Solanum lycopersicum: one gene and its partners. The protein of the gene in region 3 binds, or shares a complex with, the protein of the main gene of each other region. Links are inferred from orthologs where the notes say so. Each region holds a gene or a part of one and is shown on either strand. Other genes may lie near its edges.

The links.
Region 1: the proteins of NADH dehydrogenase [ubiquinone] iron-sulfur protein 1, mitochondrial (region 3) and NADH-ubiquinone oxidoreductase-related protein are in contact, whole or in part, in a cryo-EM structure (PDB 8BED), measured with the Arabidopsis thaliana proteins. The link is inferred for Solanum lycopersicum from reciprocal best matches to the Arabidopsis thaliana genes EMB1467 and AT3G03070. Residues at the interface, in NP_568550.1 of Arabidopsis thaliana: Pro167, Leu168, Asp169, Cys170, Pro171, Ile172, Met198, Lys199, Arg200, Ser201, Val202, Val203, Asp204, Val214; in NP_566191.1 of Arabidopsis thaliana: Ile69, Ala71, Pro83, Ile84, Glu85, Phe86, Ile87, Cys88, Asp90, Leu91, Lys98, Tyr99.
Region 2: the proteins of NADH dehydrogenase [ubiquinone] iron-sulfur protein 1, mitochondrial (region 3) and NADH dehydrogenase [ubiquinone] flavoprotein 1, mitochondrial are in contact, whole or in part, in a cryo-EM structure (PDB 7AQR), measured with the Arabidopsis thaliana proteins. The link is inferred for Solanum lycopersicum from reciprocal best matches to the Arabidopsis thaliana genes EMB1467 and CI51. Residues at the interface, in NP_568550.1 of Arabidopsis thaliana: Gly115, Asn116, Cys117, Arg118, Leu121, Lys129, Pro130, Ala135, Met136, Pro137, Lys153, Ala154, Glu156, Gly157, Val158, Glu160, Phe161, Leu162, Met164, Asn165, Arg194, Phe195, Glu197, Met198, Arg200, Ile219, Gln220, Ile239, Gly241, Arg242; in NP_196470.1 of Arabidopsis thaliana: Gly225, Ala226, Gln243, Lys245, Leu248, Pro250, His399, Glu400, Ser401, Cys402, Gly403, Gln404, Cys405, Thr406, Pro407, Arg409, Glu410, Gly411, Trp414, Met417, Ile418, Arg421, Met434, Glu437, Val438, Lys440, Gln441, Ile442, Gly444, His445.
Region 4: the proteins of NADH dehydrogenase [ubiquinone] iron-sulfur protein 1, mitochondrial (region 3) and NADH dehydrogenase [ubiquinone] 1 alpha subcomplex subunit 2 are in contact, whole or in part, in a cryo-EM structure (PDB 8BED), measured with the Arabidopsis thaliana proteins. The link is inferred for Solanum lycopersicum from reciprocal best matches to the Arabidopsis thaliana genes EMB1467 and AT5G47890. Residues at the interface, in NP_568550.1 of Arabidopsis thaliana: Lys397, Asn401, Arg402, Met403, Gly404, Asp406, Asp418, Ala419, Asp420, Leu421, Arg422, Tyr425, Leu563, Asp564, Gly566, Gln570, Arg679, Lys681, Ser682, Val683, Pro685, Asn686, His689, Glu692, Glu694, Pro695, Ala696, Ala697, Phe698, Ser701; in NP_199600.1 of Arabidopsis thaliana: Lys12, Glu13, Arg15, Leu17, Leu18, Gln20, Arg29, Val32, Glu33, Tyr36, Lys37, Lys40, Ser41, Lys45, Leu46, Pro47, Ile48, Leu49, Ile50, Arg51, Glu52, Cys53, Ser54, Val56, Trp61, Arg63, Met66, Gly67, Glu69.
Region 5: the proteins of NADH dehydrogenase [ubiquinone] iron-sulfur protein 1, mitochondrial (region 3) and NADH dehydrogenase [ubiquinone] 1 alpha subcomplex subunit 6 are in contact, whole or in part, in a cryo-EM structure (PDB 8BED), measured with the Arabidopsis thaliana proteins. The link is inferred for Solanum lycopersicum from reciprocal best matches to the Arabidopsis thaliana genes EMB1467 and AT3G12260. Residues at the interface, in NP_568550.1 of Arabidopsis thaliana: Trp361, Arg362, Leu365, Ser621, Pro645, Thr646, Ala650, Arg651, Asp652, Trp654, Lys655, Ile656, Arg658, Ala659, Glu662, Val663, Asn671; in NP_566416.1 of Arabidopsis thaliana: Lys120, Thr121, Phe123, Leu124, Phe127, Tyr128, Thr129, Ser130, Asn131, Tyr132, Phe133.
Region 6: the proteins of NADH dehydrogenase [ubiquinone] iron-sulfur protein 1, mitochondrial (region 3) and NADH dehydrogenase [ubiquinone] iron-sulfur protein 4, mitochondrial are in contact, whole or in part, in a cryo-EM structure (PDB 7AR8), measured with the Arabidopsis thaliana proteins. The link is inferred for Solanum lycopersicum from reciprocal best matches to the Arabidopsis thaliana genes EMB1467 and FRO1. Residues at the interface, in NP_568550.1 of Arabidopsis thaliana: Gly61, Gly62, Ala63, Arg64, Val65, His66, Lys87, Gly88, Phe89, Thr90, Gln93, Glu96, Val97, Asp101, Arg104, Tyr107, His108, Ser109, Leu111, Ser112, Ile113, Ala135, Gln175, Glu178, Cys179, Asp180, Asp183, Asp266, Lys288, Ala289; in NP_201560.1 of Arabidopsis thaliana: Ile55, Tyr57, Ser58, Pro59, Ala60, Arg61, Thr62, Ala63, Thr64, Gln65, Ser66, Ser68, Leu71, Val79, Thr81, Leu82, Lys83, Glu85, Thr92, Asp103, Lys126, Lys128, Lys129, Asn131, Thr132, Pro133, Leu134, Leu135, Lys136, Val137.
Region 7: the proteins of NADH dehydrogenase [ubiquinone] iron-sulfur protein 1, mitochondrial (region 3) and NADH dehydrogenase [ubiquinone] flavoprotein 2, mitochondrial are in contact, whole or in part, in a cryo-EM structure (PDB 8BED), measured with the Arabidopsis thaliana proteins. The link is inferred for Solanum lycopersicum from reciprocal best matches to the Arabidopsis thaliana genes EMB1467 and AT4G02580. Residues at the interface, in NP_568550.1 of Arabidopsis thaliana: Val203, Lys205, Val225, Ser229, Gln235, Asp236, Leu237, Gly238, Ile239, Leu240, Gly241, Arg242, Gly245, Glu246, Glu247, Gly249, Thr250, Tyr251, Val252, Glu253; in NP_567244.1 of Arabidopsis thaliana: Asn33, Tyr34, His35, Leu36, Val90, Met93, Ala103, Ile105, Arg106, Tyr108, Glu109, Thr112, Phe113, Tyr114, Ser115, Arg119.

What each region holds. Positions count from the first base shown.
Region 1 is NC_090802.1:56,164,211-56,168,342, forward strand, and holds the start of NADH-ubiquinone oxidoreductase-related protein, read left to right. Parts: upstream 1-1,332; 5' UTR 1,333-1,395; coding exon 1,396-1,542; intron 1,543-4,132. UniProt on the Arabidopsis thaliana protein: Accessory subunit of the mitochondrial membrane respiratory chain NADH dehydrogenase (Complex I), that is believed not to be involved in catalysis. Complex I functions in the transfer of electrons from NADH to the respiratory chain.
Region 2 is NC_090801.1:65,985,258-65,989,250, forward strand, and holds the start of NADH dehydrogenase [ubiquinone] flavoprotein 1, mitochondrial, read left to right. Parts: upstream 1-1,193; 5' UTR 1,194-1,339; coding exon 1,340-1,342; intron 1,343-2,429; coding exon 2,430-3,890; 3' UTR 3,891-3,902; intron 3,903-3,993. UniProt on the Arabidopsis thaliana protein: Core subunit of the mitochondrial membrane respiratory chain NADH dehydrogenase (Complex I) that is believed to belong to the minimal assembly required for catalysis. Complex I functions in the transfer of electrons from NADH to the respiratory chain.
Region 3 is NC_090810.1:5,106,024-5,109,956, reverse strand, and holds the start of NADH dehydrogenase [ubiquinone] iron-sulfur protein 1, mitochondrial, read left to right. Parts: upstream 1-1,133; 5' UTR 1,134-1,335; coding exon 1,336-1,741; intron 1,742-2,825; coding exon 2,826-3,072; intron 3,073-3,933. Other genes in the region: nicastrin, read left to right, coding at 264-528.
Region 4 is NC_090805.1:49,614,993-49,618,326, reverse strand, and holds NADH dehydrogenase [ubiquinone] 1 alpha subcomplex subunit 2, read left to right. Parts: upstream 1-1,140; 5' UTR 1,141-1,342; coding exon 1,343-1,428; intron 1,429-1,531; coding exon 1,532-1,638; intron 1,639-2,536; coding exon 2,537-2,640; 3' UTR 2,641-2,834; downstream 2,835-3,334. Other genes in the region: protein yippee-like At3g08990, read right to left, coding at 863-865. UniProt on the Arabidopsis thaliana protein: Accessory subunit of the mitochondrial membrane respiratory chain NADH dehydrogenase (Complex I), that is believed not to be involved in catalysis. Complex I functions in the transfer of electrons from NADH to the respiratory chain.
Region 5 is NC_090800.1:36,265,460-36,269,707, forward strand, and holds the start of NADH dehydrogenase [ubiquinone] 1 alpha subcomplex subunit 6, read right to left. Parts: upstream 2,801-4,248; 5' UTR 2,610-2,800; coding exon 2,397-2,609; intron 1-2,396. UniProt on the Arabidopsis thaliana protein: Accessory subunit of the mitochondrial membrane respiratory chain NADH dehydrogenase (Complex I), that is believed to be not involved in catalysis. Complex I functions in the transfer of electrons from NADH to the respiratory chain.
Region 6 is NC_090801.1:69,719,192-69,723,470, reverse strand, and holds the start of NADH dehydrogenase [ubiquinone] iron-sulfur protein 4, mitochondrial, read left to right. Parts: upstream 1-1,479; 5' UTR 1,480-1,694; coding exon 1,695-1,859; intron 1,860-2,766; coding exon 2,767-2,855; intron 2,856-4,279.
Region 7 is NC_090808.1:60,905,153-60,909,362, forward strand, and holds the start of NADH dehydrogenase [ubiquinone] flavoprotein 2, mitochondrial, read right to left. Parts: upstream 2,801-4,210; 5' UTR 2,666-2,800; coding exon 2,600-2,665; intron 2,505-2,599; coding exon 2,472-2,504; intron 2,371-2,471; coding exon 2,305-2,370; intron 1,287-2,304; coding exon 1,170-1,286; intron 804-1,169; coding exon 726-803; intron 630-725; coding exon 524-629; intron 371-523; coding exon 324-370; intron 1-323. UniProt on the Arabidopsis thaliana protein: Core subunit of the mitochondrial membrane respiratory chain NADH dehydrogenase (Complex I) that is believed to belong to the minimal assembly required for catalysis. Complex I functions in the transfer of electrons from NADH to the respiratory chain.

The DNA of each region.
Region 1 (4,132 bases), on a different chromosome or scaffold from region 3:
TTCATCAGCATAGACTTTAGAAAACTGGACCATTTAACGTACTTCTTGGTGGGATGAGACTGAATGCCAAATTACAACTACGTCATATCAAGTATGCAATTGTGCTTAGACTCGCGTGGATGCAGCAGTGCCAAGGTCATACCAGCAAGGCTGGAGCTAAGCTAATACTATGAGAAGGAGTTGATCGGTTGGAATAACATGCAACATTGAGTTTGGCAATGTCTGTCACACTGCTCTAAGGCAGTATCTGATGTGTTGATGATCTTCTTACTGGACAGAGTACTTCTCAAGTCGCGAATATGGTGGATTCTGACGAACCAATTTTGAAAGCCTGAGAAGGATGAGGGAGTGTAAATAGCAGTTAGTTTGTATCAAAAAATGATTTAGGTTTTATGTACAAACGTTGACACCGAGTATAAGTAATTTTGTATATCTAGTTTTTATTTAAATGTCTTGCAAATTCTTCGTTTCTTTATTTATGCGTTTGAACCTAGTGTCTTAAGTGGAACTTCACATTCTTGTATTTCTTTCTTCCCCTAACGATACAGGAAAAAAAATATTTCGTAGTGCTAAGTCGGACTAAGCTTATTCCTTAGATATAGTTATTATTTAGCCATACTTTAATTTAATTGTGGCGGTAACAAACTATTTGTTGGTCGCCTTTCTCTAATCAAACTTTCGCTTCCTCTCGCTTTTTATACAAACACAAATGTATCAAATACGTTTGTGTTTGTATAAAGCGAGAGAAAAGTGTATGTATACATATATTTTTATTCTACTCTCCCAGATCTCGCTCGCCTCTCTCGCTTATACAAACAAAAACGAAAATATATAAATTGCATTTCTGTTTGTATAAATCAAAAAAAAAAATTGTATATACACACGCAAATACATATATCTTAGTCATATACACTTATAATTATACAATACAAATATTTCACTGCCCAATTTTCTTTTATCTTTCTCGTTTTATACACACGCAAATTATTCAATTGATCTTTTGTATACAATTGTTTCTTTTGTATATATATACCGAATTATATAACTGGTTTCTTTATATATATATATATAGCGAATTATATAACTATTTTTTTTGTATATATATAGCGAAATATACATATTTATGTTTACTGTGTAGCGCAATTAATTGATATAACATACTAATATGTGAAAGCTACTAAAAAAATCACTATGTTGCATAAATAAGTAGAATTTACTTATTTTTGGAGAGTTAATATAATTTGATGATAAAAATTATATATATAGAAACCGGAAAAAGGAAAAAAGAGAAAAGAGAAAAGAACTAGTAGTAACCAAGATCTGGTCCGAGTCGAGGGAGGCTAAATCGCATTTGTTGAATAGCAGTGGGAATTTTAGCGTTGGGGCAAAATATCAATGGCATCAAAACAAGGCATGACAATGGCTACCAATCTCCTCAAAACCCTAACCGGAGCATCTTCCATTGTCCGGTCCAACACCAGAAGTCTCAGCGGCGTTGCTAGCAGCGAGGTCATCACCTCTCATACAGAGAAATGGATGCAGGTTAGATTCTCCTTTTTCTCACCTCGTGCTCTATTTTTCTATTGATGTTTCTGGTCGGATTTGTACTCATCGTCATCGTTGCTGTGATGCCCTAGCTTATGGATCATCAAAAATTAAAATATGTATTAGCTACTCTATTCTTCTCTACGCTGTTTTTGTCGCACGGTTTTCGTTATTGATAATATATTCATCTTCTTTAAAGATGTGTGTGTTTGTTCTCCAGTGGACTGCTTCATAAGGAATTTCCAAATTTGGAGACACAAGGAGGATAGGATTAAAATCTCTTTTTAGAAACATATGTAGTTTGATACTCTAGGAAGTTTGGTTGTAGAAGAATCTGATAAGCAGAGCTGTTATTTTTTTGGCACAAATAACAAGGATAAAGGTATAAGTGAAGGTGAAAATTGATCTCTCAAGTGAGGATTAGGATTTTCCCACCTTTTAGGACGGACTTCATATCTTGTGCAAAGGGAATGAATGCTGAGTATTGCGTGTTATACCAAAAGTATGCAATTTGTTTATATCACATGGAGAAATTGCATTTGAAATAATGTTTTAAAATAGCTCAAGAGAACAATACCATGATTATTACTAAAAAATATCAGTATGTTTCATGGACTTTGAACAATACAAATATGGAAAAAGGGAACAGATATCCATGCATATCCTCAAATCTTTTCTTCTTTGCTGATATGAAAGGATTGGTGGGATTAAAAGACGAATTAAACATTAGTAAAAGCATATGAGTGTATGTAGAATTTAAGTCAGGATATGTGCTGGGCTGAAATCAGATCATCTCTTGGTACTTTCAAGATTGTGCCAAAGCAGAAATGCACCTAAGGAGTAGATGCTGCAAATAAGAACTGAACAAAATAACCTGTCAAGATTAAAGATCCAGTGAAAAAGAAATCATGGCACTAAGAGGTCACCCCACCCCACATCTGTGTTGCCGTTAAAACATAAGTGTGAAGAGAAAGTGGAATAGTGAAGCCATTGGAAGGTAGAACACACAATCAAAAGGAAAAACCGCAAATTGAGAAAACACTGACAACATTTTCATAGAAACTATTCAAAAAGGAAGTGCATCCCATATCTGATTTTCTACTTACTATTTTGGGTTGTTACAAATATGTTCACTTTCTTAAAAGAACACTTTTTGTCTAGACTTTCTGGTATTTCTTTGTTCTATTTTTTTTAGAAGGTAAGATATTTATGTGTGAATAAAATAAACTACTCAAAAATTCTGTAGACACTCATATTAATAGTGTGGAGTAGAAAAGAATTTCTAATCCTTTGTCTTCTCACAAGGATTCTTGAACATCAAAAACAGATACAAGGTCTTTTAAGTACTCTTGCTTACACACAAAAATAGAAAAGGACTAGACGCTCATTTTAGCTACTTGATGTTAAGGGATTTATTTTCAAAGCATCTTTGATTTCTCTCTTCCAAAGTATCCACCAAATACACGTTGGGACAACCTCATCACTCTTCCTGATCAGAAAGGCTGCCATCTCCGTTCCATCATGCGAGAACTAAAGGTATTCTCCTTAGCATAGTGCACATAAAACCCCTTAAGTTGATGAATATCTTCCATAACTGAACTGTCAACTCACAATGTAAAAAGAGATGATTGATTGCCTCAGCCTCCTCTCCATGTAAGTAACATCTAGAGCATAACTGGTATCCTCTCTTGGTAACGTTGGTTTGTGTCAAAAATGGCTCTTTTGTCAAAAGACATGTAAAGCTAGCAAATTTTTTTTGGAAGTTCCTCTATCTTCTTCCAAAGGCTAATATCCAATTTGATTATTTGAGAGGTTGAATATTTACAAGCTGACTTAACTCAGAACTTGCCTTGCCTATTCCCTTGCCAAATCATGTAGTCATCTGCAGTAGAGGTCTTTTGGAATTGTTCCAAAGTACTGTAAAACTTAGTTAATTTGCTAATCTCCCAATCATGTAGTAGTCTTCTGAAGCTTACGTTCCATCCTTTAGTTTCCCATACCTCTCTCTCTGTTGCTGCTTGTTGCTGACTCAGATTGTGAAGATCAGGAAAAAGTTGTTGTAGTGATCCTTGACCAATTACCTTCCCAAAAAGGTATATTCATTCCATTTCCTACTTTGAAGCTGGACTTGTTCATGAATTTCGACTAAAGATTTCTGATCGACCTCCAAAGACAGTTTATAAGGACCACTCACAGAATTGGTTGTCCACTGTCCTTCTATCCCATACTTTTCTTTGATTACATCTTTCCATAGTGATCCGTCTTCTGCAACAAATGTCAACCACCCCATCATTGAACTTTTATTCTTAACTCTCAGATTCTCAATTCTGATTCCCCCTTCCTTCTTAGTGGTAGTGAGAGTACTCCATTTGACCAAATGAGTTCTTTTTTTGTCATCGGTACCTTGCCAAAGGAAGTTCCTTCTTAGTGCATCTATTCTCTTCGCTGCATTTACAGGAACTGAAAATAAAGACATTATATAAGTAGGCATTGCATTTAGTACAGTGTTAATCCGAACTAGTCTGCCCCTCATAGATAGATATTGGCTCTTACAGTTTGCCGGCTTCCACGTCTCTCTAAAACACCA
Region 2 (3,993 bases), on a different chromosome or scaffold from region 3:
TGTCAAAAAATAAATGAAGGATCATACAAATTTTGTCTACCACATAACACTTGTGCCTCATTCGTCATAAAATTTTTAGTATATTCTCAAATGGTACTAGTGAAACAGAGGCATGGGTAAAGCATATAATTGAGCTGCCATCATTGTCAACAACAACATCTCTATTTACAACAATCATAAAGGAGAGATTGTATGGATTCCAGATAGTAATTAACACTTTGCACATGTTCTTATATGACAATGGATTGAAACAATGGGGAAAAGTTTGAGATACAAAGGAATTATGAACAACAATGTATCACGGATCCGTATAGTGTTTTTCTATATCTTGTAGAAAGTATTAGGCCAAGAGTTAATCTAGTATTGAACCACCTACGAGAAATATGGTGGACTCATTTATCCTTAATCAAGACGTGGTGGATTTAGGTAACGTTGATACATAGTCATTTTTTTTACGGAGCACTTTATTTTTAACGTAAAATTTTTCCGCACGAATTTAAATTTAGTTGGACTTCAATGTGAATATAAACACCGGTGAAAAATTAAAAATAAAATTAGTATCGAACAAGGATTGATTCTAAGCACATGTATGGTTTAATTTTATGTCTCTTGTTTAAAATACTACGTTATCATTACTCTTCTATTAACTTATTTTTCAATTCTACTACTATTTGTTGTTTTCTCTGCATTGGTCTTAGTTTTTTTTATATGTTTTAGCTTAGTCGAGTTTTTAGCAAAAACAACATCTTACTTTTTTACGATAATAATAAATTATTTACACACCACTCTTACGATTATTATTATCGCATTTAGAACAATTTATTATCAAATGTTCTAACACACGCGTGTGTATTGAGGATTCATTAGCACTAATGGCTTTGTTTTTAGATGATATTTAAATTTTGTCTATGTACACATCCAAACCTAACATTAACCAAAAGAGTAATTTTTCAAGCTATATCTGTTAACTTTTAAAATAGGGAAAGAATATAATATTTGGGTATATATTGGACATTAATGGCAGACGATAAATGTATATCACTGGTATACATGATTTTTGCATATTTCGATCATATTGGTACATTAATGGCAGACGATAAATCTTTTAACTTTGGTGTCACTAAGGCCCATTACGACATTTCCTGAACACTAAGGCCCATCATGATATTTCATACCCATCAAGCCCACTACGTGGACCGTCATGATTCACAAATCGCAACAGCTTCATTTTCCCTTATTTTTTTCTTATTTTTATGAGAAAGAGAGCTTCAATCTCACCCTAATCTGCTGGAGAATCAGCTGAATTTCGTCGATTAATCACATTTCTGCTTCAATATTCATGGTAAGTCCCTATCTTCGATCTGTAATTTTTTTGCGCCACCAAAATACAAATGAAAATTTGTTGTGAGAATACGCCTTACGTGCATTTTGATGCGTCCTCGGTTTGTTCGTTGATTACTCTTTTGGTACTCTTCATAGGATATTTATTGCAAATTTATATTTTCAGAGATGTGGCTTAATTTTAACTGATTCGAATGGCCATGGTATTCCTAGAAAGATGAATGATGAGGAACCCTAAATTTTATTTGGCTAGCACATGTGGGTATTGCTTTTGATCTTTTTTGATTCCTGGATAAGTTATTCAGGAGAGGTGTTGCTTCATTGATCTGCTTTCGTTGAAAAAAAATGGGTTATTTTTTTAGATTGGAGTATGTTATAAGTTATGCAAGTTCATATTTTGAACCTAACCTCCTTATCAGAACTCTTTAATTCATAGACTCCGTAGCTTCTTTTCTTTGTTTGTGTGTGTTTTCAACTTTGTAATTTAGAATGAGTTATATGTATATAGATTAATAAGGAGTTAGTGTAGTCTTCCGCTGTACTTTGAATTAAGCTCTTTCAAGGTAAGCTTCTTTTTTCAGGGAAAGAAAACCTTCATACTCTATTACTTCGGAAGGCTTATGTATTTATTTTAGAGAGGTAGATGTAAATTAAATTAGTACCTAAACTTTGAAAACAGTTAGTTAGAGATGTTTTGCGTAAGTGTTTCCTCCCCTCCCCCACCCAGACATCAAAAGGAGGGTATTCTTTTTGTTTCTTCCCCTCTTGTGCAATTCCCTTAGCATCAGGTATTAACAATCTATTTTGGGAATAATTTTTTTGGAAATGTTACTGTTACTCTCTCGATCTTATGTTTCTATTCAATCAACTCTGCTTCGGTGAGTTTAGCAAAGTGTACCCCATCTAAAGCCTGGAAAAGAGTTGTGTTGTGGTTGGTCTCCTAGAAAAAGAGAGTATTTTGCAATCATGATGCATAGACCCATCGCTTAGTGCAGTATAATACAATCTTTTACCTTTGTAATTATGCTTGCTCAGTCTCGCCTCTTATGAGGCTAAAATTACTGATGTGTGGCATGTTCTTCTAACAGGCACCTATAAAGGGCCTTCTTTCTCTACAACGAACTGCATTAGCTCAGCGTTCTAGTGAAAGATGGGGCCAATATGGTAGGTTATTTAGCACTCAGGCTGCATCAACTGCTAGCACTCCCCAACCTACACCCCCACCCCCACCTCCCGAGAGGACTCACTTTGGTGGCCTTAAAGATGAGGATCGTATTTTCACAAATCTCTACGGATTGCATGACCCTTACCTCAAAGGTGCCATGAAGCGAGGAGATTGGTACAGAACAAAAGATCTTGTCATCAAGGGTTCTGACTGGATCGTGAATGAAATGAAGAAATCTGGTCTTCGAGGACGTGGTGGTGCTGGTTTTCCATCTGGTCTCAAATGGTCCTTCATGCCAAAGACAACAGATGGCCGTCCTTCATATCTTGTCGTCAATGCTGATGAAAGTGAACCTGGAACCTGTAAAGACAGGGAAATCATGCGGCATGACCCACACAAGTTGTTGGAAGGCTGTCTGATTGCAGGAGTGGGGATGAGAGCTAGAGCTGCTTATATTTATATCAGGGGAGAGTATGTGAATGAAAGGTTGAGCCTTCAGAAGGCTAGACAAGAAGCCTATGAAGCTGGATTGTTGGGGAAAAATGCTTGTGGATCTGGTTATGATTTTGACGTATATATTCATTTTGGTGCTGGTGCCTATATTTGTGGTGAAGAGACAGCTCTTCTGGAGAGCCTTGAGGGCAAACAAGGCAAACCAAGATTGAAGCCTCCATTTCCAGCTAATGCAGGACTATATGGATGTCCAACAACTGTTACAAATGTTGAAACAGTAGCTGTTTCACCAACCATCTTAAGGCGTGGTCCAGAGTGGTTTGCTAGTTTTGGCCGGAAGAATAATGCCGGGACAAAGCTGTTTTGCATCTCAGGCCATGTTAACAAGCCCTGTACAGTTGAAGAGGAAATGAGTATTTCATTGAAGGAGCTGCTAGAGAGGCACTGTGGTGGTGTGCGTGGAGGATGGGACAATTTGCTTGCTGTTATACCAGGAGGTTCATCTGTTCCACTGCTTCCCAAGAACATATGTGAGGATGTACTTATGGATTTTGATGCACTCAAAGCTGTGCAGTCAGGGTTGGGAACTGCTGCTGTAATTGTCATGGACAAGTCAACTGATGTTGTAGATGCAATTGCAAGGCTCTCGTACTTCTACAAGCACGAGAGTTGTGGTCAATGTACACCATGTAGGGAAGGCACAGGATGGCTTTGGATGATCATGGAAAGAATGAAGGTTGGCAATGCAAAGTTGGAAGAGATTGACATGCTCCAAGAGGTGACAAAACAGATTGAAGGGCACACTATTTGTGCCTTGGGTGACGCTGCTGCTTGGCCAGTACAGGGTCTTATTAGGCACTTTAGACCAGAGCTAGAAAGGAGGATCAGGGAGCATGCAGAGAGGGAGCTACAACAGGCAGCTGCTGCTTGATTCTTTTATGAGGTTGGTTCTTAAACTTTTGTTACATTTACATTGTAGTGTTTGATACTTGATAGTAACCATGAATCATCATCTTAATAAAACATTCATCTAA
Region 3 (3,933 bases):
TCCATTAGCTGATAAAAATAGACGGTTAAGTCAGCTTACCAATTCGTTCCAACAAAACAAGGCAAAGGGTAACTCTGGAGTATCCTAAAAAAAAAAAGCTTATGAAGATTGTTGACTTTCAGTGTATATGCTTCTGTCGATCAGTAACTGGATTTCAGTCTATCCTTGTAATATAAACTTACACCACTTATGTTGCTTGATACTCTGTAGCTGTTTAGTGCTACACATGCTCTTGCTTTGAACTTATCCATCACATGTAACAGGTATGTCCCAGCATACTCAACTCGATTGAAGTACGAGTACGAAACTTGGGAGGTGTTACCTCATAATTCCTCCGATACCATGGAAGAAGCTGACCCTGTTTGGACAGAGAGTAACTGGGATAGAATAAGGCTTCGTGTCTACACAGTCCAGGACAGTGGATTTGACCTGTTGGTTCTGTTGTTAGGTATAACTGTCACAGTTTTGTCATACATTGTCATAGTAATTTCAAAAGCCTTCATTACAAAGGCCCTAAAACGAGATTAGCTTAGAAATTCTTGATAAAAACTTATTTTTGGTGCAATAGCATTCTGATTGCTTGTAAACACACATCCTCGAGAAGGAAAATGTAATTCTTTCGCTGTTATTACTCCTTAAAACGCCAGACGGAAAATGCTCTGCAGGGCGAAGAATTGTCATCGCCGTTGTGAACGATATTGATGTGTAAAAATTACAAGCTTTGAGATATTTGAAGTTTCTAACACGTCATTTACATCATTCACTTTCTTTGCATATTCTTCCTTTTAAGTCGAATATCTATATCTCTTCATATCTTCTTATATGAGGTAGAGATAAGATTTACGTTCATTATATTCATTTATGGGATTAGATTTGTGTATATTGTTGTTGTACTTATATGTCCCTAAGTCTGTTACCTCAAACTCTGAATTTTTTCATATCATAGACTAAACTTACCAAACCTATACATTAGCCACGAGTATACATCAATCACATAAGCACCGTTCTTAAAATCAAGTGATTTACAATAATATTCGTTACGTATCCTATGAGCGAAACTCCAAGTTCAACAAATTCTGATTTTGATTATGACGTTGATGTAAATAAGTCGAAATTAAAAGTTCACTCATTTTGGAGATTCGGGTATATTTGAACGCCCAAAAACTAAAAGGCCCATTTACTTCAAGCCCAAATCTCATAACCCGACCCGAACTCCATCCCCAATCAAATTTCCCTGCTCCATGGAAACAAAAACGTAGCACATCTGCTCTCCACACTCCAAAAACAAATTTACTCTCTCCATTTCTCCATTCGAATAACTGAAGATCAATCGCAATGGGATTAGGGTTACTCGCTTCTCGAGCCCTACGATCTTCTAGAATCATTCGAAACTCTACCCGCACCATCGTCTCCACGCCGGAGCTCAAAAACGCCGATGCTGCCGCCGCCGCAGCAGCAGCTGCGGACGCACCATCAGATCTTCCGAAGAGAAACCCAGTTGGTGGTGCTCGAGTTCATTTACCCAATCCGGATGATGTTATTGAGGTTTTCGTTGATGGGTACCCGGTCAAAATCCCTAAGGGTATGACTGTGCTTCAGGCTTGTGAAATTGCCGGAGTTGACATTCCGAGATTCTGTTATCATAGCCGACTTTCTATTGCTGGAAATTGCAGAATGTGTCTTGTGGAGGTTGAGAAATCTCCTAAGCCTGTTGCTTCTTGTGCCATGCCTGCACTTCCAGGTATCGCCATAGTTTATTGATCTAGATTTGTATTTGTATTTTTATGCTCAATTTAATGTTTTAATTGCTTATTTAAGCTCTCAAAAACGTTAGCTTTATCTATCCTCAATATCCATTCAGTTCTATTTGGACTCCCTATGGTAAAAAAGAGAGCTTTCCAAATTAACACTGGTGCTTAAGTGAAGTAGACTATATAGGATGGTAATGGTAATCATGTTCTTGTGAAAGATTTTATTTTGAGTAGTAATAGTGGACTAGTGCTGCTTGTCTTAATTGAAAACCAACTGAAGTTCTGCAAAAGAGGCTGTGTATATGCATCAAACTCGTGAACTACAGAAACCCCATGTGTGCATATCTATAGTTGTATTAATGGAGAACCAACTGAAGTATCCCCATTGCATTTCTGCAAAAGAGGCTGTGTATATGCATCAAACTCATGATCTACAGTGTCCCTGTGTGTGCAATTATATAGTTGTATTAATTGAGAACCAACTGAAGTATTACCATTGCATTTCTGCAAAAGAGGCTTTGTATATGCATCAAACTCATGATCTACAGAGTCCCCGCGTGTGCAATTCTATAGCTGCATTAATAGTCAACAGTAAACGGCCGGTCATTTGATCCTAGGAAAAAGAAACCATAAAAGTAAAGTCTTTTCATGTTACAGCTGTAGTTAACCAAACCATATATTATGGGCTAATGATATGTTCATTTGAGCTTGTTTGCTCGAGAGTCCGAGTGGTGATATTGCATGCATTGTATCAGTACTTCAGAAATGTTGATTGAGTCTTGTCAAAACACAAGTTTCTATTTTCTTCAGTTTCCCTTTTCTGAAGAATTATGGGAAGCTGGTATTTTCAATATTCTGTAGGTATTTTCTTTGGGTTAGTAACATCTTGACCTGTTGTGCATTTCACTTTACTTCATTGTTGCTTGTCATTTTATAGTTTTCATGAAGGCTGATCCTATTTGTAGTTATTGTTGAGTTATTATTGGCATTTTTCATTGTTTTGGTTTGCCATCTGTTCCTTGGATTTACATTAGTGTCGAGTCTTGCAAATTTATCTGGAGGGTACGCTTACAGGAATGAAGATCAAGACAGATACACCTATTGCCAAAAAGGCTCGTGAAGGAGTTATGGAGTTCTTGCTTATGAATCATCCACTTGATTGCCCAATTTGTGATCAGGGAGGAGAATGTGATCTCCAGGATCAATCTATGGCCTTTGGATCCGACCGCGGGCGTTTCACTGAAATGAAGAGATCTGTGGTTGACAAGAATTTGGGTCCATTGGTGAAGACTGTGATGACCCGGTGCATCCAGTGTACAAGGTCTGTGTTTGATCCTTACTTATCCTAGTGCTTTTTGCTAAACATAAAATTTGTGTGGTTCAATTTCTCATGGAAATGGAAGTTTAGAAATCAACCTTAAACCAAAACTTGATAAATATTGTTTAAGGTGTGGCAGGCCAACCGTGAACCGTCCATGCTACACGGATGCTTCATGTGCATTGATGTATCTTGATACTGGTGTCACTCAAGTATAGTTACATTTTGCAGGTTTATAATAGATTAAAAAATAGCAAAAAAGGGTAAAAAGGGTACAGATGTATACTGGATATTTACATACCTGCATCCTGAATCTGAATCGTATGCACAACTTTTTGATGTAACATAACCAACCGTCAATATTGTATCTTTTTATGTTCCCCAAATCTCATGAGAAAAACTTGCAAGTTAGAGCAGGAAATCATTTGAATGCTCGTCCCTTGTGCATGTGATTTCTAATTAAGAATAGTCAGAAGAAGAGAGAGCCTAATACCTTATCCCCCTCCCCCAAAAAGTAAAATAAAATGAAGAGGTAGCCTGATAAGATGGGAGTGATGATTTTCGTGGACATTGGCATGTTATAAGTGCCAATAGCTTAGCAGAAATTGCCGGTCTATCGTCCCCAATTCACTCCTATACTGCATAATTTGTGGGATGTTAACATTCATATTTTGTGGTTATATCACCCTACAACAGAACAATTTGCCACTGGCTCTTTCATATCTCTGACATGCTTCTGCCTTCTTGAGTTATTCCTTTCCACTGATAAACCTCAAAATTTGTCCTCTTTGTTAATACAGCTTTAAAAAAACTTCAGAACATGTATGAGAGATTGAGTATAGCAAATATATATTAGGTTTAAGC
Region 4 (3,334 bases), on a different chromosome or scaffold from region 3:
ATTGAGAAGAGATACATTTTTACTGAAAAAATCAATTCTTGAATCTTGAAAGTAATTTCTTACCATTAACAATAATTAGATGGACATAAATATAGTTAATGTTTTTTTCTTCTTCTATTCACTTCACTTGTGACAAATAGAATTGCAGTTTACCTATGTCACTCTTGTAAAAGTTTCACTAAATCTTTTTTTATATATATAAAAATAATAATTTGGCGGACATGGCAGTTATAATTAAACATAATAATTGCTAGATCAAAGATTATTTACTGTTGAGATTAAATGAAAAAAGACTAACTGAGAATGGTTCTTTTATATTGAATTTGCCGCTCTTTTAGATTGAATTGACATAAATATAATTAATGTTTCTGATATTCTTTTATTCACTTTACTTATGAAAGATAAAGCTGCAGTTTAATCATGTGACTCTTATGAAGATTTGACTATTAATTATTTTTTGTTATAGCATACATGCGCCTCATATGTAGTCTACAATATTGATCAAACTTATATTTAAACGTAATAATTTCTAATCGTAAATAATAGCTTTAAGTGTAGTAATTTCGTAATTATGATAATTAGTAATATCATAGGAATTGTAGGTCACTACATAAAAAAGATTATAAAAATAAAAGGTTAGCGTATGTGCCCTTCGCACATTTAGTCCATTGTTATGATCAATTTTTTATTTAAATATTCAATGTAATAATAAATAATGTACCTTACACAATAGAGTGAGAAAAGAGAATAGAGTAGAAAGAGAGGATTGAGAAGAGGTACTTTTATAGTGAAAAATCAGTTCTTGAAAGTTAAAGGAGGAATATAAGAAGAACAATCAGGGTTTAGAGGGAATAAAACTCACCATTTCTTTGGCCTGGTCTCAGATAAAATTTGATGGAGACTTCCCAAATTTGCAGAAAAAGAGGGTTGTTTGCCTAGTAGACTTGCCCTTTTCAATTTCTACGATCTTTGTTTTTAGTGGGCTGGTCACTTTTGAGCCAGTGAATGTAGTTCTAGATTTCTAATTTTAATTATAAAATAAAGACCCAACTGGATCTAGATATGTATATTTTTGCTATCTAAATGAAAAGAGAGCCTCACAAAATTTGTTATATATATCAAATATATATGAATCACACTATATACGTCTATTTTGTAATAACCACACTTGGCCCAATGGACTGGTTATCCCTCGGAAGTCCAGATTCAAAAAAACTAGCCCACCCTTAGTATAAGGTTAAATTCGTCAATAAAATTCTTGAGTACAACCGCTAAAGCATAAATCACCGTTTTTGGTTTATTATACTTGCCTAGGGATAGTTGAAGGTGAATTTGTGCAACAATGGCGTGGAGATCAAATCTCTCTCGGAACCTGAAGGAGCTTCGCATCCTCTTCTCTCCATCCTCATCTGAAAGTGCTGCGACTAGGTATTTTCACAATTTTTATGAGTACTGCGATGAAATGTAGTTGATTGATTGATTGATAGAGTGATAAGTTAATTCCGAGTAATTTGTTTCATCTTTTATGTAGGGCGTTCATTGAGAAGAATTACAGAGATCTCAAGACCCAAAACCCCAAATTACCTATTTTGATTCGTGAGGCCAGTTCAATCGAGCCTCAGCTCTGGGCGAGATATGGTAATTATTTCGGTTTTCTTATACCTCTGCAGAATCTTACCCAGCTTTGCATATTGAAATTCTGATTACTCAATTCACACACAAAAAAATTGTTCCTTTGCGTTTGACTGGTAGCATTTTCATTGTTTTTGTTACATTTTCATTTTTCCTAGGTCCAGCTTAATTGAAACTTATAAGCAGACTTTTGGTAAATAACCTATTAACATTTGATCAGGTAAGGGATTGATAGAAATCTTATTCCTAAATTGCATAATGAAGTTCACATCAAAACAAATAAGCACGAAGGAGTCATATGCGACTCTAAAGAAATATTCTATGATGATGTAACAGATGTAGTGAGAGTGATTAAGATTTGAGTATAATGAATTGACTTGTAAAATTAGGTCTGACCTCTAGTTCCAGGGGAGAAGGATTGTTCAAGTCTTATAATGAGACCACCCATCTCATTAACGTAAGACTTTCTTCATTCTTCAAATGGACCTTACCGTGGTTAGGCATGTAGAATATCTCGTTTTCTCATAATGATACTCAATCCGTTCTAATTTTATATATCCTTTCCTCTTTGGGATGTTTCCAGTCAAGCCTATCCACTCATTTGTTCTAAACCAGAGTTTCTAGTTTCAAGATCGTGCTTTTAGTAAGCGTGTGGTGAGATGTTCCAAGCATGGTATCTACTGATTTTGCCATTGCTATGATTCAAAGGATTCACCGTTATTTGACACCATTGCAAATGTTTGCTACGTTCTCCTATGGACAAATTTGATGAAGTGTAATTTTCAGTTTTCTTTAAAGTCAGTATATTTCAAATCTGATGTAGTCAGTTGTTTTGAGTGATCTTTACCCTGTTCCTGTGGTTTGAACTTCTATTCATGGATTTTACTTTTTTAAATGCTTATAGACCTGGGAGTTGAAAGGGGCATCAGACTGGAGGGATTGACCGAGGAGCAAATCTCAAAGGCACTTGAGGACCTTGGAAAAGTAGGGGCATCCCTTAAATCTTGATGGCATTGGATCTGCAGAATTGTATTTCTTTGCATTCAGCACTTTGTAGAGTTCTGTCCTCACATTGTGCTTTCTAAAATAATCTTTTGGTGCAAGTTATCATGAATCAAAAAACCGTTCATAAACCTGGAATCCTGGGTATTTTGGCTTTTATTTGCTGTTGAAATGAAAATGTTTGAAATCGTTTGTTGCTAGCATTAGAAGTTTAACGTTATTCCTTCTATGCATTTAATCTTGTTGCGGTTGAAAATTTTGTAGTCCCAGTTTGTTTCTTGTACTCTTATAATGTGAGTTGACTAATCTATGCGTAGAGATAGCACTTAGGCAAATGAAAAGCTGCTAGCTATATACTCCAATCTTGTGTACTAAGGTAGAAATGAAATCTGAAGAAGAAATTGATCTTCAATTAAGGAATTTCCAGGAGGTAAGCCTAGATTTATAGTCTTGACTCATGAGTTTGAGAGAATTGACATGTTTACAATCTTCCTCTTTACATATAAAGAGGAGACAGTATAGGAAATATGGGAATTCTGCCCTCTGCCTGAAATATTGATATTTAAGCTCTGCAAGTTTCACCCACTCTTTGTTGAGCAACTGCTAGCACCAGTAATGCTAATGAAGAGATCTCATTTTTAGTCTTGATAAGCAGAATAGCTTGACTACAGGCAATTCCAAACTCCCCAATATAAGCCTT
Region 5 (4,248 bases), on a different chromosome or scaffold from region 3:
AGGCTGAAGATGGCCGGAAAGAGGGTTCTCCCATCCTAGAAAAGTAGGAGAGACAAGTGTTGGGGAATGTGCCTGGGAGAAAAGTTATTTTGTCTTCAACAATACATCTTTTGTCGGCTCTTCTCAAGAGCAGAAGTGTTTTTAGTTTAAAAAGTGCATTTAGACTCTTCAAACAAAAAAATGGAACTCCTTTTGGAAAAACCTTTTAAACACTTCCACCAAAAACTTCTTCAATTGTTTAGGGAACTTCTTATATCCAAATGCCTCTGAATTTTTTTTTAATAAAAACATCTTTAACCTGGGAAAAAGAGAACCTCTCGAAGTAAATCCATGACAGACTGTTTGGTTGAGAAACAGTTCTTGCAAAACATTAGAAAGTTTTCTGCAAGAACTCTTCATTATATTTTTGAAGCAAACGCTGCCTTAATATTTGACTCTTCTCGTCCCCTAGGAAGAATAGATTCTTTATCATTGGTTGAGAATGATCATTATATAACATTGCCTGCTATTTTGCTTGTATCCACTTCCCAAAGAGATGATAAAATACTAAAATCAAGAGATGCAATACAATCATAAAGCAAGAATGAACCAAGCCCTGGGAGGCAAGTAATAATAAAAGAGTTGTTGATTAGAAGATACCACTCAGAATGGCATCACGAGGATGCACAAAGAGTAGCCGGAACTTGTCTGTTGGCTTATTAACAAGGTCTTAATCTAAACAACAAAATAGCCTAAGCTTATTTTGTAGGCCAGCAATTACTTTTGCTAAACATGAATCATTTTTCTACTGAGTATATGTTTCCTTACTACTGGCAGAGAACATTGAAAGGCATCCAATAGGTTGGCAACAGGAGATTGGATGGGCCGTTACTTAAGCTAAGAGAGAAAAGGTCAAAGCAGAAGTCAATATGTTGGTATTGGGGGCATGTGTTTATCATACATGAAAAGAAGGAAACCAGAGACAATTCCAAGGAAAGAGGAGTACAAAGCAGCAGGTCAGTCGAAAGATCGAGCAGGAGGTTCATATCAGAGGAGCCCAATGTGCAAAACAAGCAACACAGCTAACAGTTGAACTATTATCCTAGTTGAGTGAGGCTGTAATAAGATGTAGTAGATGAGAGGTTAAATAGGCAGTTTTGATTAAGTTTTTCTAAAGCCTTTTGTTATTTGGCTCTTAGGTTTTTGCACATGCACAGATTTTTCCCTATACACATAGTTACCCAAAAAAATGTCTTCTTACAAGGAAGAACAGATGTAGACACATTCAATGTAAGGTGGCAAATTTTACTGTTTCAAGACCTTAAACCAGTCCCTAATCCACAGTTTTTCAGTTCTAACATCAGTCCAAGCCCATATATGACCTTGGTCCATCATAAGTAGCTGGAAATAACTAAATCTCATGATATTAAATAATAAAGTTCAAGTAATTCGACAATTAGTATCTCCAACTAACTAATTTAGACGTCATCAGCCATCTAAACAAATTAATTTCACCAAAACCTGATGTAGCAGTAATAAGTGTAAGAAAAACTCAAACATGATTTTGATCCAAATGAATAATCACCAAATTTATGGCGTGTCAGCACAACTACTTAATTGCACTTGAATCCTCTGTCTATCAGTTAAACAAAAGACTAAGATTTAAATCCTATATTTGAATCCAATTCAAGACCAACTTTAAAATAAAGTTAATTCAGATTAGCACGATTCTTAATTCTCAACTTCAAATATTGAGCATTAGCATCTCATTTTGGAAATTCCTATTCAATAAAACGCACAACTGCAAAGAGAAATGATTTTTTTCTCAAAACGCTGTAAATCTAATCTCTCTTCAAGAAAGATGTTAAGAGGAATGTCCATTTCAATTGTATCATAACGGTGGAATAAAAGTCCAGCAAAAAATCCATCTTCCAGCGCCTATTCCTAAATCCTCTTCCCTCACACCCCACCCCTCCCCTCTCCATGAATCAACACAAATCAACAACATCAACATAGCCCGTGAAATCCTACAAGTGGAGTTTGGCTAGGGTACAGTGTACCATACAGCCATACCACTACCTCATGGAGGTTCTGAAAGGTCATAGCTTTCTCACGAATTGCAAATGTTAAACAAAATGCCACAGTAAATCAGAAGTAAACTAAAAAACTTTTGTACTCGGATTCAATTTTTTCTTGGTCTTTCTCTTTCCAGAACAAAAATATTATCGCACAATCTAATCTAATCAAACTCTGCTCCACCGTAATTTCCAATCAGATTACTAAAAGAAAGCATTCAATTTTGAATACCCCAATTCACAACAAACAAGATTTTTTCCAATTGAATCGGATATCGCCTAATTCAAAAGCAAATTAGATTTCAAATCCGAAAAGGAAGAGGTTATATTTCAGATTGATACCTTAGGGTTAGTAATATTGGCATTCTTGCGAACTTCGGCGGCGGCGGCAGAACGGAGTTGGGATGGTGTAACGACATCGTGCAAGTTGTAGATTTCCATTACATGAGGGATGGATCTACAGCACATACGGAAGAATTCAAAGGTCCGAGTGCGAGCTTCTTCTAAACTGGCGGAGTTTGGTGGCACCTTGAGACGCTTCAGTATTTGGGACATGATTTCTTTCTGCCTTCACTGAACAAGTAAGAAATAGCAAAACTATATTGAGTTAAAGGCTTGAGAAGCAAAGGGTAGTTTGCTATATACTTTGGTATTATAGTTTGATATAATTTCGAAAAACCTCCCTTTTTGTTGGCCTTATAATATTTACTTCTCTTTTAGTTTTAGATATTACATTCACGTACCTTATTTGAAATTTTTATAACCAAACTTATTTAATGACAAAAAATTTCCATATTTCGTAGTGACCTCCTGAAATAGAAAATATTTCGTAGTTGCCCTTTCTGGGCGTTTTAATAAAAACTAAATTGTGGGAGATATTCTACTCATCAAAAATTAACTTTATATTTGAAATATTCACTTAGACGATGTAATAAGTTGCACAACTTGATAATTGCTATTAAGATTGGCACCGGATCGGGTTGTACTAGTATTGGTCCGGTACCGTTTCGATACCATTCCGGTTCGTTCCGATCCGGTGATCTTCAGGACGGAACGGGACACCTTGAACCGGTATATGAAACGGAGCGGTATCACATACTGGTGTACCAGTACTAGTTTATATCGGTTTATTCCGATTCCATTCTAATTCGATCGTATTTCAGTTTGATTTTGATTAATTATTTTTTATTAATTAATTTATATTTTTAAAAGTTATTTCCCACTGTCAGAGTTGACAACTTTTCTGAAAGGCTGAAAAGCCTGCTACCCGCCTGCACCCTGCCAACTGTCCCATCTCGATTCCCATTCCCGATTCGACATTCCCCAATCCCCAATTCTCCATTGGTCATTGTTTTCTTTTAAGAAAATATTAGCGTTCAATGTTGACAAGTCGTAGTTCAGGTATAATCTTATCCATCATTCATTGCACTCAAAAATCTATTAAACATATCATTTATCCCTACGCCCTAGCCTGCCCCATACTTTAAAACCCTCCACGCACCGATGCATGACGCCGCCCGTCACACTCATCCTCAACGCCCCCATCCCATATCCTAATGACGTCTCAATCCGAACGTCGTATCTGCAAAAATAAATAAATAAAAATATTTTTCAATTACACGACCGATTTTGAAAAAAAGGAGGGATGCAACACAAGGACTTCGGAGGGGGTCACCCATCATAATACTACTCTCGTTCAAGCACGCTTAAGTTAGGAGTTCTGATGGGACCCGGTGCGTTAGTGTTGGTATGATCGCATCCATCATTCATTGAACTCTAAATTCAATTAAATATAGCCTTCATCCCCGACGCCCTAGCTCGCCCCCTACTTTAAAATCCTCCACGCACCGACGCATGACGCCGCCCCTCACGCCCATCCTTAACGCCCCTAACCCATATCCAAATGACGTCTCAATCCGAACGTATTTTCTGCAAAAATAAATAAATAAGTATATTTTTTCAATTGCAAGATCAAATTTCGACAAAAAGGAGGGATGCAACATGAGGACTTCTCAAGGGGTCACCTAACCTAGTACTACTCTTGCCCAAGCACGCTTCTCTTCAGAGTTCTGATGGGATCCGGTGCATTAGTGCTGGTATGATCACATCTATTATTTATTGCACTCTAAATTCTATTAAACACATCCTTCCTTCCAATGCCCTAGCCCGCCCCCAACTTTAATACCCTCCACGC
Region 6 (4,279 bases), on a different chromosome or scaffold from region 3:
GGGAGGGAGGATCCGCCAGAGAAAATGCAACACGATAGAAGAGTTCGCTCCGCCGCGTAAGATCCTCGAATCAAAATCAACCACGACTACTCTCTACGGTCCATTTTCGTTCTCTTCCTTGCCCGGGAAGGGGGATCAAAGAAAGATAGCTTGCTTCTCTCCTAGACGGAAGACGACTTATGTAGTGGTCGACCTTCCTACCAGAATGCTTCCTTGGTCGAAGAGCCCCTTTACCTCTAGCAATAGACAAAATAGATTGCTTTTATTTTTGTTATTTTTTTGGCATTAAACGTCCTTTTTTCTATCGCTGCTTCAAAATAAAAAAAAAACTGATCAACTTTTACTCTCGACTTATGAAAAATAAAATAATTTTCATAATCTTGATAAATAGAGTTATATAATACATGTTACTAATGAGAGGTAATAAAATATTTCGTGAAATTATTTAAAGTGCACGAAGTTGATTTGAATTTTTAATAATAAAAAAAAAAGATAAATTACCATATATTTAATGTTTAAATGTGTATTTAAGCAAAACTTATAGTTTATATTCAATTTTGTGAGTGATAATTTTATATATTTTATATTTATACAAATTTTAATTTTCCCATCTTATAATTTTATATTAAATAAAAAATACAATAATAAACTTTTAATTATAATTTTTATCTTAACACACTACACTCTTATAAAGGATAAAAAATCGATCTATTAAGCTGCCTTGGAATTTTGTGCTTTGCGATAGTATGGATAATATAACATTATTTTTATGGTCATAGCTCATAAGTAAAAGATCGCTGTTATTTAAAATTTAATTTCAATTATTCAAATAAGTGAACAAATTAAGTGAAGTTTTTGTCTCAATAATTAAATTAGTTCATATATGTGAGTTAATAGGACGGTTCAGTTGGTTATTTTTTAAGAAATTATATCATCTTAATTTTATTTTTACGATTAAATTGTCATCTCAATCATATTAGTTTCTTTTCAATATCGGTATGATTTAATTAATTTTCGTTTTTTTTCTTATTTTTCAAGTATCACCTCAAAATATATTGTTTTTAAATATTTTTCAGGTATATTTTTAAAGAAATACTTCACTTCTTCATCAGATGTCAAGAATATAAAATGTTGTTATCGTGGTGTTTGATCTTAAAAATTTAATAGAAATGCTTGCATGTTTTCTGTATCTAAGACGTAAGTTATATTTATATATTAAATTTAACATATTAGTAACATATAAAATATATTTACATACATGTGAGGTTATTAGATTCGAAAAATTATCACTTTTTTTAATTGAAAAGATCATTTGAATTATTTGAGACAATTATACACTAAAATAAAAGTCTACAATTATTAAAAAAGTGATAAAAATTCATTGGATTTAATTTTTTATATTCTTTTGATACCCACAGATTTTGATTTCCCCTTCCCAAATTTTTCTTTTAAATTAAATCTATACTTGAAATTAGGATCAAAATTAAATATTTTTTGTATCTCACCTGAGCACTATAGTTTTTATATAATTATTCGCCTAAATACATCAGAGTACAAAATACTCGTATGTTAGCAAAGTAATGTATGCGTGAATTTATACGAGACATACGCCACATCACCGTGAAAATAAAAATACAAAGGGCAAAGTAATATCTGGCTTCATCACTTCGGCCGGATTCTATCATCTCAGGCAAATGGCTAGCTCTCTCCGACGACTAGCGACGCATTCCTCTCAAGCCGCCTGGCGATCTTCTGTGACGCCGCTATGTAGACAATTTGCGTCAGAAGCGTTGGTCGAAATCAAGCCCGGAGAGATCGGTATGGTCTCTGGTATTCCAGATGAACATCTTCGTAGAAGGGTATAATTTCTTTTCTTTATGTCTCTTCGCTAATATCTATTATTTTGTCAGGTCATTTAGGTGTATGAAAAACTTCATTGTAGGTTACCAATTTATTAGGGCTTCTATAGCAGATCCATGGGTTCCGCTATTTAGGGTTAGCAAATGATTTGGGAAATGGATATGGAGGATCCATATAGTTAGAATCAATTGATTTGAAATTGATATAGTTGATTGATTGCTTTTCATTTTTGCCTTTGTGAATTTATGTTACCTCTAATCCGAAGACTATTCCTTTTTAGCCCTCCTTTTGTCTTCCTCGCTCCTATTCAATGATATAGAAGAGACCATAGCTGCTTAGACACTTGTGACAAGTAAAAAGTTGTAAGTTTTCATGGTAGGGAGTAGTTTCTGCTTGGCAAGTATTAAGTTGAACTTGGACCTTCTAGAGCTTGAATTGATAAGCCTTAATATCAGACCCCAGCTTGGATTAATGCAAACTTTTTCCCCACGGAGGTTTTTCATCCATTTCTGCACAAATTTAGTTATATAGATTTCTTATCAAATCTATAATCTGATCTATATCATCTATACGAAGCTGTTTACACCAAAAAAGTAGAGATAATTCACATTTATTTCTCTCTATGTTCGTGTCTATTATTTTATTTATCCCATATTTTTCCTTTCATGTGCATGGTTGGTTTGCCCTCTCTTTCAATTTTGGTTATATACAAATGTATTGGCTTGTTCAATTTCTTCAACTCTTATATTCTCAAATTTCTTGAAGTGTTTAAATGTGCCAAATGATCCTAATCTTTCTTTTAGTACATATATTTTCTGTCTCTTCATGTGGAAAATTGCTCTCAGTTAGTGGATTAGATCTTATGCACCATGCCCCTTTTGGTAGTTAATAATGTTTGCTCACCAGGTTGTGATTTTCTCTCCTGCTCGGACTGCTAGTCAACAAGGCTCTGGAAAAGTTGGCAGATGGAAAATCAATTTCATGTCTACCCAGAAGTATGTTTTTGGATATCTTCCTTTTCTTTTCATTATTAAGAAGTTAGCATGGTTCACCAATATTAGTCTATTTTTAGCCAGCACAAAATCCTGCAGGACTTTGTACAGTAATTACAATATACAAACTCATCTACCTTATCCTTCTGTCCTGTACTAAACAAGAAGAAACAAAGAGAAAACCTTAAAGAAAGTTTTGACAAGTATAGATTATAAGTTTTTTTTCCCGTTAAAAGACTATAATTTTAATTGTGCCTAGGTCTCAAAATACAATGTTTGACTATGAAATTTGGACCACAACAGGTTGTTTGGTTTGTGAAGGTTAAAGAGATTGTGAACTTATTTTCCTCTAGTGGTTCATATAATTATAGAGATCTGGACATTGGTGTCTTCCTTTTTATCTACTCCCTTTGAACCATTTCATATGTCACCGTTTGACTTGGCATGGTGCTTAAGAAAAAAAGGACTTTTGAAATTTGTGGTCTAAAACAATCTTAGAACATTTGTGTGACCTTAAATCATTTCATTAAGGTAAAAGGGGAATTTTAAATTAAATTGTTTCCAATTATAGTAAGGTGACACTCTTTTTGGGACGGACTTAAAAGTAAAGGGTGGAAAGGGTTCCACATAAAATGGGACTGGGGAGTATCATTTAATACAATGTTGGTGCATCTGATTATGGGGTTTTTTTGGTCGTGGAGGGAGGTAATTAGGAAGGTATATTGGTTTTGACAACGCCAAAACTCTCGGGTTCATAAAAAGAAATTACTAATAAGAGTCCAGAGTTCTTCCTATGCTGTAAAGATCAATTATTGATTAACTTTAAACTTCAATAGAGAATGAACCCCATTCATTGAATTCAGCTTAGCCAGACGGTGTTTCTTCGAGTTTACTTAAGTAGAAAAATTGCTGATTGTTGATGAAAAAAATGTATATTCATATCAGAAGATGCTGAGAGAGAAGCACTCATAATTTATGGCCATGGTAAAAGTTTTGTACTCTCCTCTATGCGAATCAAACTATTTTATCCTGGGTAATTTCATGGATGGTCATCCAACTAAAAATCTTAGTGCACCAAAGCTATAAAATTAATTTTTGTAATGGAAAATGACTCTTAACTATGCGCAAATATCACATTAAATAAAAAACAATAATAATGCTAGAATCTGGTCATAGAAAACACAAGTAGGTTGCTAAATTGTATGAAATTTCTATACAAGTACAACCACGTCAGCAACTCAACCCTTAGATAATATCTACGTGGTGCTACCTAAATGAACAATTTTTTTCCGATCCAACTTACTACCCGACATCTTTACTGTGTGAGCCATCATTTTTTAGGACAGATTTATATTCTTGTAAGTGGTGTCACGTGGATATTATGTAAGATTAGTTGCTGAAATGACAACCTACTTGTGTTTCCAGAC
Region 7 (4,210 bases), on a different chromosome or scaffold from region 3:
AAGGCCACAAACTGAGAATATCTCTAGTGTCTTAGTAGATTTTCCTTACAAGATACAATCAACCAAAGTTCCAGCCATCCAACACTAAAGATTAGCCAATTTCTACTCCTTAAGTTAGTTACTATCAGTCACAACGCACAATCATGGTCATGTGATTTATTGCATAACAGTTGAGCATAACAAGCACCAATCTCAACATCAGATCTTAGGTTTGGAAAGTAAATGAGACAAATAGTTCACAAAAGCGGTCATGTAGGACATGCTTTCAAGGCCACCAAATAGAATCAAGGTCAATATCAATAGATGTATGAAAAATGACTCACCATGCATTCCATCTCACCAACAGAAAATAAGCCATCCTTAGTTACTTCTGCATACATGAATAAGTCATGAACCAGAATAAGAACATGTTTCAACGATAGGATTATTAAGGCTATTTTATTTATTCTTTCATCAAGAAGGATTATTAGGACTATTAAAAAGGCTAATAAAATAATTGGAAAGACCTCCATAAAACACTGACCATTGCGCTTTACTCCCAGGTGCTTCAGTATAGCTTCTTCGATACCTCTTGAACCACGGATCATACAAGGTGTTGTGCCACAAACCAAAAGGTGATATTTTCCAACCTAAAGGGACAAGAAACTGAGTAAGCTATGTTAAGTAAAGATGGGTTCTAAATTTCCTGCACTTGCACAAGCCAAAGGTCAAGACAAACTACTCACTTTTGTCCTGTTGAACATCGTGTAGAAAGTTGCAACCTCATATACACGAATTGGCGCAACTTCAACAACCTTAGCCACCTTAAGCATTTAGAAGACTAGGTTAGGTGCTTTTGAATGCCAATTTGACATAGGCAGAAAAATCATATAACAAATAACCCCTAATAAGGAACGGCAACTTGCAGTGTGCTTACTTTGAGGGTATACAAAGGAAACAGGGGTAATGGTAATACAAAAATCAAGTTAGTACACATGCCAAATAACACAAATATAATTATGGCAAGAACTAAAGCTGAATTGGTTCTAGCAACCAAATGCTGATTAATTGTAAAGAAGATCACCAAATAATTTCAAAATTCAAGTGGTAACCGTTAATAATGCTGATCACCAGGACAAACTTTATAATAATGCAAATAGTAAGAATCAATCTGAACAGTGTCAACATACTGCATTCATCGCCGAAACAGGTAGCCACCCTCCATTTTGCTGCTGTGCAAGATCCAACAAAGGAATCACTGCAGATTGTTTATAGTTGGATGGGTAGAAAGACAGTATTTCTTTCACCTGCACATTGCATCAGAGGATTAAGTAGGAAAGATAGACGATAAAATTGTTAACGGAAGAACTACCAATTAAAGAGATGCATGGATTCAGTGTAAGTACACTACTATGGTAATCCTCTGAAATTGGATTATTGAAGCTAATCAACATTCAAAATCCATTTCAAAAATCTCTATGATGCAGGAAGCTTCGTATTATACTTTTCTTTGATTAGTAAATTCTAAAAATTAAGTTATGACCTCTGCTGAAGAATGCTATAGAAGAAGATGTTTCTAACTTTTACAATTTTGGAGTCAATGCATCAGAAGCGCTACTGAATAACATGATGAAAATAGGCCCAAGCAACAAACAGGGAATGTATTTGGCCTTGAACCACAACATTAATCACCCTACTATCTTTGAAAGTATTTTCCTTTTATTTGTGATTGTCTCTCCACATTTTATTCCTTCTCCAATCTTCTCTTTAGGTTGGATATGCAGAGAAGCGACTTGATCATTAGGTTCTTTTAAGAAAATAACTTTTCTCCCATTCATTTTCAAATGAGAAACTAAGTTTGAATGCTCATTTAGACAATCTTCTCATACAGATGTAGCTTGAATTTATGGTGTAAGGTAGATCATTTCAAAGGCTGTTATTCATTTCGCAGACAAGCTCAAAACTTGAGTCAGCCAAGATAATTTTTATGCAATTTTTCAACCAAGTTCAGATATTCAAAGCCTAGATAGGCACCTAAATAGCTTACACAGATAATAGTACAGATATAGATTAGAGCAGAATACATTTTCATCAAAACATACAAAGAAATTATATTCTGATTCAGAAAAGTTTGAAACATTCAGTAAAGGAGATGTCATAAATCCTGGTAACAAGAGCTCTCAATTTCCACACATAAATTGAAAGAAAAACAGAATAGCAATAGCAAAAATTCAAACTTTTGATGTAAATTCTAAAAAAATGTTGCAAGTGATATGACAAAGAATTAGCTCTTAAGTATTCTGGAGGATAATAAGCATTGCTAACCTTTTCCTTGTTTGCATTATTAAACTCCCAAGGAAGGTCCGTTTTGTTGTCCGGTGTATCAATGTGCTGCGTATAATAAAAATCCAAACAAATAAAAACATAAACACGCAATCGAATACTCAAATTTCGAATCTAAACTCCGAAATTACAATTAGATAACAACTCACATAGTTGAGTGCAGTGGAAAAAGATCGCGATGCCTGTAAAACAGAAAAAATATAATTGATTTAGACTAAAAGGAAGGAAGAACCAATCTATCAAAGTGAAATGGAAAACACATAAACGAGGATTAGACCTGAGTAGTTCGGCGGATGGACGTTCGGATCTCGTTCAGACGTTGCGCAGCGAGTCGACCGAACATTTTTAGTCTCCGGCGATTGCTCCGAGCAGACGGTGGTCGGAGAAAATGGAGATTTTGGGGAGGAAAGGGAGAAATCGGAAGTCTCACTATGAATGTTCTGCGTGCCACACACACGTTCCTTGTTCGCGTGTCCTGATGAAGACCTTAAACTGGCAGGCCCATTAGAATTTATGAGGACTATATTTGGGCTCTCGTATCGTTGGGCCACAATACGTTTGGCTACTTGGGCTTTGGTCAATGCGATGGGCAACTTTCACATGTAGCAAATATAAAATTTATATTTGTATGCTATAGCAAGGTTTGTATAATTGTGTTTTATAGCAAATATATATACGTATAATTCGCTATACATATACAATTGAAGCGAATTGTATAAAACAAGAAAGAAAGAGACTTGACGGAGAATTGTATAAAACGAATTGTATAATTATAAGTGTAAAGGACGATTATATACAATTTGAATTTGTATAAAACGAGGAAGGGAGAAAGACAAAAGAGACTTGGGCAGGGAATATACAATTAAATCGAATTGTATAAAACTAGAAAGATAAAAATTATATACAATTTGAATTTGTATAAAACGAGAAAGAGAGAGATACAAAAGAGACTTGGGCAGAAAAGTACTTTTATTGTATAGTTATAAGTGTATATGACAGAGATATATGTATTTGCATGTGTATAAACAATTTCTCTCGCTTTATACAATTAGAATCACGATTTATACAATTATATTGTATAAAGCGAGAGATGCGAGCGAAGGAAGCGAGCGATAGAGGGAGAGTGGCGAGCGAGAATATGAGGGAGAGAGGGACTGACAAACAGTTTGCTATGAAACACAAATAAATCAAACGGTAGCTACTACATTTATTTTATATTATTAGTTTGTCATTCTATACAATTATCCCAATTCATAGTGGGTTGGTAACTAGCTTGATTTGGGCATCATTTTACAAAGGAAAAATTACGCAACAAATCAAACTTATACTATTTAATTACTCATCATAGCTATAATTTGCTATAATTTCGAGTTTGTATAGCTAGTCATGTTTGTATATGTATAATTCGCCATAATATACAAATACACGTGTATAATATACATTATTTAACCTATATATATATATAATTCACCTCTCTCTCGCTCTCTTCCCTCCCTCCCTCGCTCGCCTCTCTCCTCCCTCTCCCGATCTCGCTTGCCCTATATACAAATGCATGTGTATAATATACAATTATATACAAATATAATTCACCTCTCCACTCTCTGTCCTCTCTCGCTCACCTCTCTCCCCCCTCTCCCAATCTCGCTCGCCTCTCTCCTCCCTCTCCCAATCTCGCTCACCTCTCTCCTCTCTCTCCCAGACTCGCTTGCCTCTCTCCTTCCTCTCCCAATCTCGCTCGCCTCTCTCCTCCCTCTCCCAGACTCGCTCGCCTCTCTCCTCCCTCTCTCAGACTCGCTTGCCATATATACAAAATACAAATACAAATATATAATATACAATTATCTAATCGATATACATATACAATTCACCTTTCTCCCACTCTTTTTCC